Caenorhabditis elegans: one gene and its partner. The protein of the gene in region 2 interacts with the protein of the main gene of each other region in a pairwise test. Each region holds a gene or a part of one and is shown on either strand. Other genes may lie near its edges.

Region 1 (5,483 bases), on a different chromosome or scaffold from region 2:
AAAACATTTTTCAATTGCTGCCCCTTGCCTCTTTTCTATAATGTTTTTCAGGCAATTTTGTCTGATACTCTCATCTCTCCAAATCAAGCCAAAAAAGTTTGTGAGAAAGATGGATCAATCCTGACATCATTTGAAAATTTTGATGAGCGTACCAAACTTTCCACTGTTCTTCGTGATTTCCTTACTGCAAAGAAATTGGATCGTGGATCAATGATTGTCGATGGACATCGTTTGAAGAACTGCGAGACTACAGATAAAACCGTTTTGGCTACTGTAGAATGCAGGAATTCATCATCTGGTTTCACTACTGATGAGAAGCATACTGATAATACTTTCATGTGGAAAAGCTGGTCTGCAACTGAACCAGGACAGACCATCTTTGAAAAGTTAGTTACAGTTGCAAGTTGTTTTTTTTTAAATATGATTTCCAGAAGCATTGAATCTTGCCTTCAACTCTCAATTTCTCAATTCCCTGCTCGCAGTGAGCTGATCAATGACGTCTTCTGCAACTATGTAAAGCATCCAGAAAATGAAGGTGCATCCGATCTCTGGAACTATGGAGCTGTCTGTGGACGTTTCCCAGAATGGATCTAATAGTTAATTTTACGTATTGGATTTGTTATAAATAATCATTTGCTCAAAATTTTCGAGCATATTTTCAGAGTAAACAATTAAAAATCCCAAGAATTAGGGGGCGTTTTTGTCGTGACCGAAAAAAACTGCGAAATCATTCTGAGAATTTCGTTAAGTAAATGTTCGAAGAACATGACAACATTAAAAGAAATCTTCATAATTAAAAAGAACCAGCAAATGTAAAACATGTTACAAGTATCATCATTAGAGTAGGTAAATTCTGAATTCAGGTGGTTGCGAGAAGGAAAGCGTTTTTAACAAATCATTATGTCATTGAATTTGGTTCCATCAAGTTCGTCCTTGGAGTTTGCTTCATTTTTTGATCGATATACTGAAAATATTTCATTTTCACAGAAAACTCAAACAAAATAGGGTACTTTTCCGATTTCTGCCCCCAAAATGTTTTCGATATATTCATTAATGAAACGTTAACTTTTTTGTTATTTAGTATTGAAATAAACATTCACGTGAGAATTGAAATTGAAATATTGAACTTAAAAAATTGGGGGGGCAGAAATCGGAAAAGTACCCAAAATAGAAATATGGCTTAATTTTGGATGATATTTACAAAATGTACAAAAATTTTATAGAATATTTTTGATAATTTGATAAATTTCCAGATACGATTCCTTCTCAAAAAAACTTACAGCCAGTGGCACATTGAGCCGAAGTTCAAGCCAGCAAGGCGTGGATGTGACGTCTTGACGTGGATAATCTTCTCCCCAGCCCTGAAAATTTGTTTATCGAAGTTTCATTTGAAAATCTCACGATAAATTTAACAAGTATAAATCTACAAGGAATTCAAACATTTAGAACAAACCTTTACAAAAGAAATACGAATAAAACAGTGTTTGGAGAGTTCATTCAATCCATCGCTATCGTTGCACGACTGTTCCAACATCTTAATTTTTGACAATTGTTGAAGAATAGCATGAAAATAATTTTAAATTTTAAAAACCTCACTTGAAAAAATAAATTAAACTCAAAAACGCATAATTGACTGTGCGGTGGTATTCGGCAGACTTTGACCAGTGGCATGTTCATCATGAGATTCGTATTTTTGGATTGCACAAAAACTGGCATATCAGAGTTATTTGTAATCATAATATGCATTTGATCTTCTTTATTATCAAGCTGAATTCCTTTTCCAATATGCATCCGTGTGTTCTCAATTGTTCCATTTCGATTCACATTGGTTAATTGTCCAAGACATATTCTGAAATTTCCGGATTATTTTAATAAAGAAACCGGTAAGAATTATTATTATTCAGAACTTCTCGAAGTTAAAGCTTCGAATCAGCAATTTTCACGTTAATTAACTCGAAGTGTCCACTTTTTAATAACTATGATAATATTATAGAGAAGATATGTATTATACCGTATTAATGGAGGAAATTTAAATCAAACTAATAATATTTATATTTTGTAAGAACATTTTTTAGAAGTCCGACCGAAATCGAAAAAAACTAATTATTTTTTGGTTTTTTCACTTTTAAAATCAATTTATTTCTACTTTCGAATGTCTTTCAAAATCTTACCTTGTATTTGAATTTGATGGATTAGTATATCCGTCGACTGTAATGCTCAGATTCACTAGCTGAAACTCCAATTTTGTTTTGTTTTGAAAAATCAAAACCTCACTTTAAAAACTTCTCCAACTCTCGAATTCAACTCAAAATACGTAATTTGGGCCCAGGATTTGGGATGACGGAACGGTGGAGGTCGCTGGTGAACTTGCTGAAAATTATAATTTTTGCAAAAATGTGTATTGCAAAAAAACTAACCACTTCTCCTCCATCTTCTGAAAAAACCGACGGGCTCGGCGAGCTTGCACAAGATGCCGTTGAGCTTCCACTAGACTGCCAGATAGCTGCAATTTTATGTATTTTTCATTTAATTTCCCTAGAGAATTTTAAAGAGAGTTTAGTTGTTTTTTTTTAATAGAAGATTCTGATATGTTTAAACAATTTTTAGATCCAACGCTTACTGTTTGGAGATGATATTGGTTGTGGTGATGGCATTGAAGAATTTAAGCCTTGTGGTCGTGATAATCTGGAATTTTATTCATTTTTGAAATGTATTCCAATTTTAAACAACTTTCAGAACAAACCTCTGATAGTGATATGGATTAATGCAGATGTACATGGTTTTGGAACTAGATTCATATGGGTAGGAGCATGTATCAATTGAACGTAATTCCTGAAATGAACATTCAAAAATTTCAAATTAATATATCCAATTAACTTACATGAGGAGAACTTATATCCGGCCACCGCCATACTCGACAGTAAATCACATGTGGAAGACCTTTCTTATGGGATACCTGAAAAGCCGGAAGTTTGGCGTCAAAAAGTCGTTATTTCAAACCAAAGTGTTATTTTTGAAAGTTATCACAGTTGTCTGATTAGCGAACAAATTTACGTTAAGCAACCACAACGGCGCCACATACCTGTAACCGACCGTCTAAACTTTTTGCTATCGTAATGCATCTTGAGTTTGTACATGGGTTTGCTAGAACACATTCCAGATCTTCGAGGGTTCCTGGAATTTAGAATTTGAAATGGATCGGTTGAATTTCTTTTTTTTTAATATTTATGATCTAACTTATAAATAAGGTGCACTTTGATTCATGAATCGAAAAGGGTCATCGGAAAATGTTAATCATAATATTATATTGTATCCGTAACAATATGCTTAACATTCGGATGGGTCTCGCCGCGCCAATAGTATTTTCGAATACATTCGAAAATGTTAAGTTTGTTTTTTGGTGCTTTCTTCTTACTGTTTTTATAGTTTTTTGCAAGTTAAAAAAAATGAAAATCATAAGAAATCGTAAGAAAAATTAGACTAAGAGGAAGGAGGCTCAAATATTTCTACTGTAAATTTAAAGGTAATCACAAAAATAGTTTTGAAACTTTCATAAGCGCGTCGAGACCCTTTTTCAGAAATGTCCCTCCCTAAATTATTATAAATTCCTTTAAAAAATATATTTGACTAACCACATCCATTATTTTTCTTTTTTAATTTTTTCACCAATGCCTCAACAGCCTTCTCACACCATTTTTCTTCGTCTTCTCCAATTTTCCAACCTAAAAGCTTTTTGACAGCTGGACCATGCATATGCAGTAATCCGTTCATTTTGACTGAAATTTTGCTCTCATTTCAAAAAAACTAATTCAATAATTATTATCGATTTTTGTTTTGCGCGATAAGAAATAGTAACAGGTAACAGAAACAAAAAAAGTGGGTAAACTGAGCGGAAAATGAATGAGAGAAAGAGAGAAACAAGGCTAAAAGTGAATGTTTGAGTAAAGGAAATGATGAGATGATAAGTGATAACAGGGAAGGCGGAGGAGGTAAAGAGAGACTGAGAAAATGAAGATGAACACAAAGAAAACAAAAATGAATCGTTCTTTTGTTTGCACTTTTAAATTCTTTTTTCATGACATGACACCGTTCTTTTTAATTGAACAATTTGAGTTGGGATGAGGGATGTTCCAGACAAAACGTGGCAAGTTCTCACATTTTGGAAGAATGCCAAAATGTTATTTTCTTTTCTGATCAGAGAAGATTTCCATATATATTACATTTTAATTATTTTTCGAATATTTCTATTTCAACATTGTAGTGAATTGTCCAAAAAATTCCAGATTTCACGAAAATTTGTCACTTTACTAAAACTATTCAAAACTTTTTTTTTTAATCGAAGTTTTTATTATGATATTCGTTCATGGACTTTTCGAGTAGAAATTCCCACTGGCAATACTCCATTTAAAGGCAGAGTACTGTAGCGCCAGTGGGAATTTTGTTTAAATACACATATAATAGTTGCCACTCTTTGACATAAAATAAAAAATTTCAAAAAAAATTTTGAAAGGTTTAATTATGATATTCGGTCTTTTTGGCACCATAGGAATAGTTTTTAACACTTTCCCCACTGGCACTACTCCACCTTTAATCATCTCGAAAAAATATATGGATTTGAAAACATTGTCACTATGATCTCATGTTGTTTATGTCATTTGCTCAAAATGAATTTCTATCATAAAAATGTTGAATAACGTGAAATTGAAAAAGTATTTGCGAAACCCGGATGGAATCACATCAGACTGGGGCAGTGTTGGTGGTGACCTTTCCCCACGCCCTGCAACCGATATAAAATAGTGTCCGTTGTGTTGGGGGATAGATGTAGGTAGAATAAAGGTAAATGTGCCCTTGTGTTAATCTTTGCGTCTCTTCATGGCGCAACCCTCTCTCAATTTTCCCAATTTCTTAGTGCCTTTGCGCTTATTGGTCACATCGGTGACCGCTCGTTGAAATAGAATGAAGAGGGAACAGGGGACAAAGGATGGTTGGGGACACAGTTAGCAAGAAAAAAAAAAAAAGTCAGAGAGCAATTTATTCTTTCAAAAACATGAACATAGTGAGAGGGCGAAATAAAAACAGTTGAAATCGGTATTTTGGAGGAAGAAAAACGTCATCGGGGGAAGAAAGAAAAGGCGAAAGATTGATCTGTAGAGATCCAACGATGATGAACTCAAATGATTATGTTTAGAGATGGGGACAAACAATTCGGGGAGCTACTACAAATTTGAAAAAAAAAAGAACAAATTAATAAATAAGGAGCCTAAAAAATAAGGAGCCTAGATGAACAAAAAACAACGTCTAAATATTCTGAAACAAAAAAATTAGAATCTTAATTTGATAGTTGTGTGCATATCTTCACATGTATTGAGAAAAGATCTTTGAAGGCGAGAAGCAACTGGATTATGCATACCTTCTAATGCAGCTTTAGCCTGAAATATTTAGGTGTTGAAATTAGGTTTAAACTCTACATATATGTATAAATA
Region 2 (7,262 bases):
CTACTTACCTACATGCCTGCCTACCTAAACGTTGTCAGTCTACTTTGAGTTAATGGCTGCCTAGATTATCTGCCTGCCTAGGGCCTAGCTGATTTTTGCATATCCACTCAGTTGGTTCTCGTGCCAAGAAATTTCAAAAAGAAACTCACAAAGAAAAAATGTAAAACATAGAGATAGCTACAGTTGCACAAAACGAAAGAAGCATCATCAATGCGACCGCACTGAAGTATGGCGGGTTGTTCTTCAATTAAAGATTAATTCAAGTGAAATAAAGATAAAGATAAATCTAACCAGTAAATCCAGCGGAAAAAGGCTAACTTGATCTACCGTGTCATCTACATTCCATTGTGGCAAAAAAACCGAAATGCCGTTGAAACACCACGAGAATACAATTGAGAAAAATAAAGCAATAAGTAGAGTATTTATACGGTTTTTTTGAATCCATTTTTAAAGAATTTTGAGCGTATGTATAAGAATTCGGACGCTATTCTTATACGCAAATTGTAGGAGGAGTCGTAGTATTTCGACATAACAATTTATCAAATTTCGATTGACTCATCGATATCGTTGCATTCGTATTGTTTGAATATTCTGTAGTCTTTCGGGAAAAATTTGATATGAGAGAGTCACGGTAAATATCAAAGATAACAACAATTACGGCAGCGTTGGAAAAAATTGGCATTTTTAATTGATGTTTCAAGTAAAAAAAATCAAACTAACCACTGGCAACTTTTTCATTATTTGGAGAAAAAAAAACGTTATTTGGTTGTTTATGACTAAAAAGAGCCTGGGAAATTAATAAATATTTTATATTCAATACAAAAAATATTGGGGAACAGAGTACAAGAAGTACTTATCACAAGAAGAAAAATCTAGAAAATCAATAATTTCAAATGTATAGGGACTAGGTTTAGAACAGAATTGACATTCTGAAGTTTAAGCTTCAGAAAAAATCTGAAAAAAGTTAACACCGATGGAAATATTGGGAGCTGGGATGTGTGGAATGTTATCATTGATAATATCAGTTGTTAGTAGGTCCTCCGCTTAGCAGCCGACAGTTTACAGGTTTTGCCCCGTGAAATGTCGGCTGCTAGGTTGGGTTAGTCGGTTAGTTGGTTAACAGAGCGCATTTGCACATTATTGAAATAGAAAATCGAATCTTAAGAAACAAGAAAAGAAAGACAGGATGACAGAAAATGAACAGGAAAATGTGTGGCACAATTTAATGAAAATATTATTTTTTTAATAATTAAAAGGTAGTGAGATGAGCTCAAAAGCTCAAGAGCTCAAAATCGACTCAATACTGAAAGAAGAGTTGAAGCCAGCTTCAGGAGTTGGAGTCTTCGACGATGAAGATCCCGACCCAGAAATCTCCGATGTTTCAGAGTGTGGAGTCGAGCTCTCAAAATTCGAAGAATTTTTCAAGAAATGGGGCATTAAAAGTAGGGAAAGAGGGTTCAGAAGCAACGATTTTGTAGGATCCATGCCTGGAGGAAACAGGCAGAAATTTGGGAGTGATGGTGGAAGATTTGGGAAAAGGGAGGAGAGGAGTGGTGGGGTTATTGGGGGCTCCGGGAGCAGTGGAAGAGGATTTTTGCGAGAGATTTTCGATGGAGCCGGGTGGTGGAAGTCGTCGTCGTCGTCGTCTTGGCCGCCGCGAGCCTGAAATTGAATTTTTTAAATATTTTTTAAAACTGTGTTTAAAAAACGTTCAACTTTTACAGCAAAATTTTATGATTCAATTTTAGAAAATGCACTATTACCAGTACAGATAGTGTAGATAGTTGAAGAGACAGAGACATCCCGGGACCCAAAGGACGGGGCGCGGAAAAAGCCGATTTGTGTCGATTTACGAAATTCTAGAAACGAGGAAAACTGTAAATCGACGTAAATCAGCTCTTCCCGAGCACCGCCCCGAAAAAGTCTGCGTCTCTTCTCCAGCATTCTTTGTAGATCAAACCGAACTGAAACACTTTGACACCACATGCCGGTAGTAATTTAAAAGGTACCTTACAGTTATGCCTTTCAAATTTGCAGCACTTCTATAATTCATCTCTTAAAGTACATATACTAATAAATCAGGCACCTGACAAACATTGACACCTCGCTCCACCACCTAAATATCTAAATTCAAACCGCATCAATCTTTGTCTTGCCTCTTCTTTCCCCTCCAAGTGATTAGTCCTCCCCTCCTCGCCCCAAGGCCATTTAATCTACCGTACTACCTAAAACATTGCGCGAAATGGAATGAACCATAGGCAAAGAGAATCACTTTTGTTTCCAATCCGTCTTATGTACATGTACAAGTGATACAGTTATATGTATATGTGTCACATATTAGCTAGCGCCCCGCGACAGCCCTTCTTTTTCGGCGGGGGACCCCCCGCTGGACAGCCTGACTGTCATTTTAATGGGCTTGTGGTTGGAGGACAGACTGTATGGAGGATTTGATATTTGGAACAGTACATTGGAACAGAATTATACCTGTTTGCATAGTCATGTCCCCGTTCTTCCTACCTACATGCCTAAGTGCTTGCCTACAGCCTTATATTTCAATAGGTGTAGAGTTCCCAAGCCGAATAGTTGAAAAAAATTTAAAGTTATGTGCAAACCCCGCTCACCCCACTCAAACAAACTCTTGCAACTTCTTATTACTTTTTCTTTGTCCTCTTTTCTAACTACTTCATCATACACACACAGACACAAGTCACTCATTTTCATTTCAACATAACACTACAATATTGGATAGGAGGCATCTGTTGCCCCCCCCCGTAGAAGTAGTAGGAGTACAACTATTGCAACAGATGGCACATTTTATTGGGTAGTACCGGGAGGAGAGTATTTCGCGCGCGTAAGTCAATTCATCTTAATATGACTGTTTAATTGTATTGAGTAAAATTGAGTGAAAATTGAAAATATTTTGGGGGGGGGGGGGGGGGGCGAGGTTAATTACCCTATGTAGATAAACGTTTCAAAACCATTTTGATAAAAAATTTTTGTCAAATTTAAAACTTTGCAGAATGATTTGAAAATTGCAGGTCAGTACCAAAACCACAGTGCCGAAGCTTCCTATTCTCCGAAGGCATTTGCGATTTCTGAAAGTTCCAACTCTGCAATTTTTTAAGAATTTTGTACATTCTCAAAGTTGCGCAATTTCGGCTGAACCAAATACACAGGTACTCTTCATTGCCTAATCTTAAGCATAAGTCTAAGCCTAAGCCAGAACCTAAGCTTTACCCTAAGCCTAACCCTGAGCCTGAACCTAAGCCTAAGCCTAATCCTAAGCCGGAGCCTAAGCCTAAGCCTAAGCCTAAGCCTAAGCAATAGGCTAAGCCTGAACCTAAGTCTGAACCTGAGCCTAAGCCTAAACCTAACCCTGAGACTGAGCCTAAGACTAAGCCTAAGCCTAAGCCTAAACCTAAATTTAAGCCTAAGCCTGCGCATAGCCACACTATCTTAAATATTTGTTCACAGTCTTCCCTTTAAACTACAGTACCCCACATCAAAATCTGCAAAGTCTTATCCAATCCTGCAGCCGTTCATCATAATCTCTTCCCCCAATAGTCTCTCAATCGTATTTAAAACAAATTTCTCGCCTTTTCTGTCATCGACCAACCTTGAGGATTACTGTAGAATTGTCTTTCTCTCTCAAAATCGTGAAGGGGGAAGCACGCGCGCGCCCTCTCTAAATCAATTTTTCGTTTTTTTTTGTTGGAGATTTTTGCGTTTCTCTTTGAAGTGATAAGATCATTAATTTACACAATTTGATAAGTACAGTAACCGAAGACTTACCCGAAATCGTTTCCGACGCCGTAAGCAGCTGCCGTTCTCGAACATTCCGGAGGCATTTGGGTGCACCGCCCAGTAGGAGCCCTGGAATTTTTTACGGTGTTTTTTTTTCGGAAATTTAGAAAAAAAATTATCACAGGATTTAACATGGAAATTGCAGAATGAGCAAAAAGTGTTGCAGATTTACTTTAGCTCTAAGGACTACGGTAGTTGTTTTGTTGGTTCTATAAAGTGAGCATGTGCTCATTGAGGGCAAAAGAGCACAAAAAGAGAGCAAACGAGTTCTTGGAAAAACCCATATATAGTATGTAACTTTTTTTTGCTAGAAATTCATCTTTGAAAATTGCAAATTGTTTAGGTTTTTAAAAATTAAATTAATAACTTCGGAAATTTTATTTTTTTTTAAATTACAAATATTACCTTCCCAGGACGATCGGCTCTTCTTGGGATCTTGATGAAGCAGTCGTTGAATGACAAGTTGTGTCGCAGGGAGTTTTGCCACCTGAAAACATTACATTTTGAGCTGATTTTTATCTTTTTTTCTGAAATGTTGAAACTAATGAATACACTTTTTGAGTTTTTTAGAGAATTTTTCTGTTTGTTTTAAAGGAAATTTCATATATTTTTAAGTCACTTTAACTATAAAAAAATCAAGAGAAAACTTCGAAAATATATTTCTAGGACTTTTTTTTGTTTAAAACATTGAAAATTGCATATTTTTGAACCCAATAATTTTTCTTATAAAAGTGGGGAAACTACAAGAACTAATCTATAAAAGTGAGAAAAAACCCCAAAATAAACCGGACTGAAAACTATGAAATTTGGAGTTTTTGAGCATATTTTGTATATTTTTTCAAAGCAAAATAACTATGGAAATACAAATATCGAAATTTCAGAAAAAAAACATTTCAATCTTCAAAGCTCTGTTAAAACGCAAAATCAGTCACAAAGGGAAACTTCAATGTCAGATTTTTTTGTTAAATTTAACTTGAAAATTTTTCACAAAATGGCCTTAAAAAATGGATTCTTGGAAAAATTGACAAAACCCCCCTTTTTTGGGTTTCAGTAACACAGGAATTTTAGAAAAACTAGAAATTTTCTTAGAGCTCAAAAACTTTCAAACCCCCAACTCATACCTCTGCGTGTTTTTCCTATAAAACGGAAACCGATCCATAATATATTTGTAGATCTCCGTGAGCGGGAGCATTTTATCGTCAGAGTCCTGAATAGCCATATAGGTGAGCCAAATGTACGAGTACGGTGGCTTCTGCTCATCGTACGAGTCTTTTCCGGGTCTTGGCATTTTTCAGGGAATATGTATAGAGTTTTGCTTGGATTGATAATTAATAAAGAAGGTTTTGGAATATATCAAAATATATTGAAATCTTAGCGATTGGGAAAAGTCAATTTGTTTGAGAAGCCAAGCCTTAGAAGGAGAAGAAGGGCGGAGCGTTGAGTGGGCGGGGCTGGCCAACGGGGAGACAGCGCTTACCGAGACCGCCCGTAAGGGAAAAAGGCAACAACTTGTAATAAGGAAAATGACAACACATTTCTAATAGAAAAATAAGTCTTTGTTTTACATTCACATCACTAACCTATATTTGGGAGGAACCAGTTACTCCTGTTGCTGGTGCTGCTGCTGACCGGGTATCACGCAGCCCCCGCTGAGTTGGGGCATCTGGTGTGGGACGGGATTCACTGGAATACTGAAGATGAAAGAGTTGATTGTGTTTTTTTTTGAAAATGTAGGTAAACTGGTATCAGACCACCCGAGAACTGTCACGACTTGTTTGAAATTTTGAGTGACACCGAGAGCGGTAGGGGGGAAGCGTTCGAATTAACGGGATTAGTCCATGGAATGGTGGGGTGTCTAGGTGGGAAGAATTAGTGTCAATATTTGAATTTTTGTTGGACAATTTTAAAATCATGAGAATTACTAAAATATTCAAATATTTGGGTCACCTGGAGAGCCTAGAGCACGCTTCAACTTCAAACGCTCATAACTCTGCGGTTACCTGAGATATCAAAAAACTGTCAACTGATTAAATATTGGTCATAAAATTTTGCACATTTTGTTAATTGACAACTTTTTTATATCAAAAATATTTGTGGAGTTATAACGGATTAAAGTTTGGAGACCACCTAGTGAAAAAGTACGGTAGTTTGGGTTTTCTGCAACAAGAAAAATAATTTAAAAAGCATAGAAAATGTTGAATTATTATGCATTCGAAAAAAGTTTTGGTGAACATTTTCTACAAAAAAATGTATACCAAATGAAAAAGAAACTAGAAAACCTCAGTAGAAAATTTCACTACAATGATTTAGAGAAATCTTAAAATCTTAAAATCCAACTCTGAAAGGATGTTTTCAGCTAGTTTTTTTCAAAGCTCCATTTTTTGCAAGTTTTCCTCATTTTCTAATTCCATATTCTCGAGAGTACACTAACCCCATTGTCCTTATTCACCCCCCTCCCAGTTAGATATTCCATTTGACACTTCACCACTTTTTTGGAACAATTTCACTCATAAATTCCGTAAAGTTTCTCATCGTCACCACCACCACCATAATTTAATGAATGAATAAAGTAATATATATAATAGTAGTAGAGACACCCATTCTCATCACCTAATATTCTTCTCCATAAATTGTTATTACCTACCGTACTCTCGGTTTAAAAAAATTGTATGTGGGAGAATCAAAAAAGGGTAGTGATTATTCTAATTAAATATGACTGGGTTTGTCTCGGGACAAAGATTTTATAAATGAGATTTGGGATAAATGATCAATGGGGAGCTAAAGGGACCTTTAGGGCGCAGCGAGTCGTAATCAGAAAATTTAAATCAACTCCCGGGGGCTCGAACTCATGACCGTTTGCTTCAAAGTCGTCCCTCTTAGCCACTGCGCCACTTGGTACGGCGCCCTAAGAAAACGGCGCCACGGATGGCTCAGTGGGTAAGAGCAATGCCTTTGGAGCAAAAGGTCAAGGGATCGAGTCCCCGTGAAAAGGTTTAGGTTTTGAATACCGCTGATTTCAAATTTTTTACTTGAAAACTCTAAAAACACACGTAAAACGTGATACTTCGTAATTATGTTGATAAAAATCAATTTTCTTACAAATTTACAATGTTCTAAATCAGCTCAGCAACTTCGAAGACAGACCAGTAAAGACAAAACGAAGACATCAAAATAGAAGAAAAAAGAACCAGTTGTCCTTACGGAAGAATAAAAACCGCAATGCCATCCACCAGTTAATCAAAAACGGTTTCCTCCTCCTCCTCCTCCCGTCAATCTCCTTCATAAAGGACATCTCTTCCCCACTGCCTGCCTGGGGAGAGCGCGGCAAAAATCGCGGCATTTTTTGGATCAAAGGTGCCGCTCGATCGCACGGTTGACTGCAGACGGTGCGGCGCCGCTGGCCACACCACCGCTCCTCGTGCCATATTTAGAAGCTCGGTTCATTAAACCGACACTTA

What was found. The genes of interacting proteins can lie anywhere in the genome.
Region 1: the proteins of lin-31 (region 2) and sma-3 interact in a two-hybrid assay, tested with the Caenorhabditis elegans proteins (one study listed by BioGRID).

The regions. Positions count from the first base shown.
Region 1 is NC_003281.10:6,860,193-6,865,675, forward strand, and holds sma-3 (Dwarfin sma-3), read right to left. Parts: upstream 3,777-5,483; 5' UTR 3,772-3,776; coding exon 3,633-3,771; intron 3,175-3,632; coding exon 3,083-3,174; intron 2,957-3,082; coding exon 2,882-2,956; intron 2,833-2,881; coding exon 2,744-2,832; intron 2,686-2,743; coding exon 2,621-2,685; intron 2,504-2,620; coding exon 2,418-2,503; intron 2,371-2,417; coding exon 2,275-2,370; intron 2,231-2,274; coding exon 2,172-2,230; intron 1,850-2,171; coding exon 1,597-1,849; intron 1,535-1,596; coding exon 1,454-1,534; intron 1,362-1,453; coding exon 1,281-1,361; intron 965-1,280; coding exon 899-964; 3' UTR 782-898; downstream 1-781. Other genes in the region: cra-1 (N-terminal acetyltransferase B complex subunit NAA25 homolog), read right to left, coding at 5,322-5,429. UniProt on the Caenorhabditis elegans protein: Involved in TGF-beta pathway. Plays a role in male tail tip morphogenesis.
Region 2 is NC_003280.10:3,980,484-3,987,745, reverse strand, and holds lin-31 (Protein lin-31), read right to left. Parts: upstream 5,198-7,262; 5' UTR 5,093-5,197; coding exon 4,926-5,092; intron 4,292-4,925; coding exon 4,210-4,291; intron 3,874-4,209; coding exon 3,793-3,873; intron 3,418-3,792; exon of another isoform or gene 3,226-3,417; intron 1,663-3,225; coding exon 1,279-1,662; 3' UTR 717-1,278; downstream 1-716. Other genes in the region: K10G6.5 (Serpentine receptor class gamma), read right to left, coding at 150-208. UniProt on the Caenorhabditis elegans protein: Lin-31 regulates how vulval precursor cells choose their fate. It helps specify three alternative cell fates in vulval development.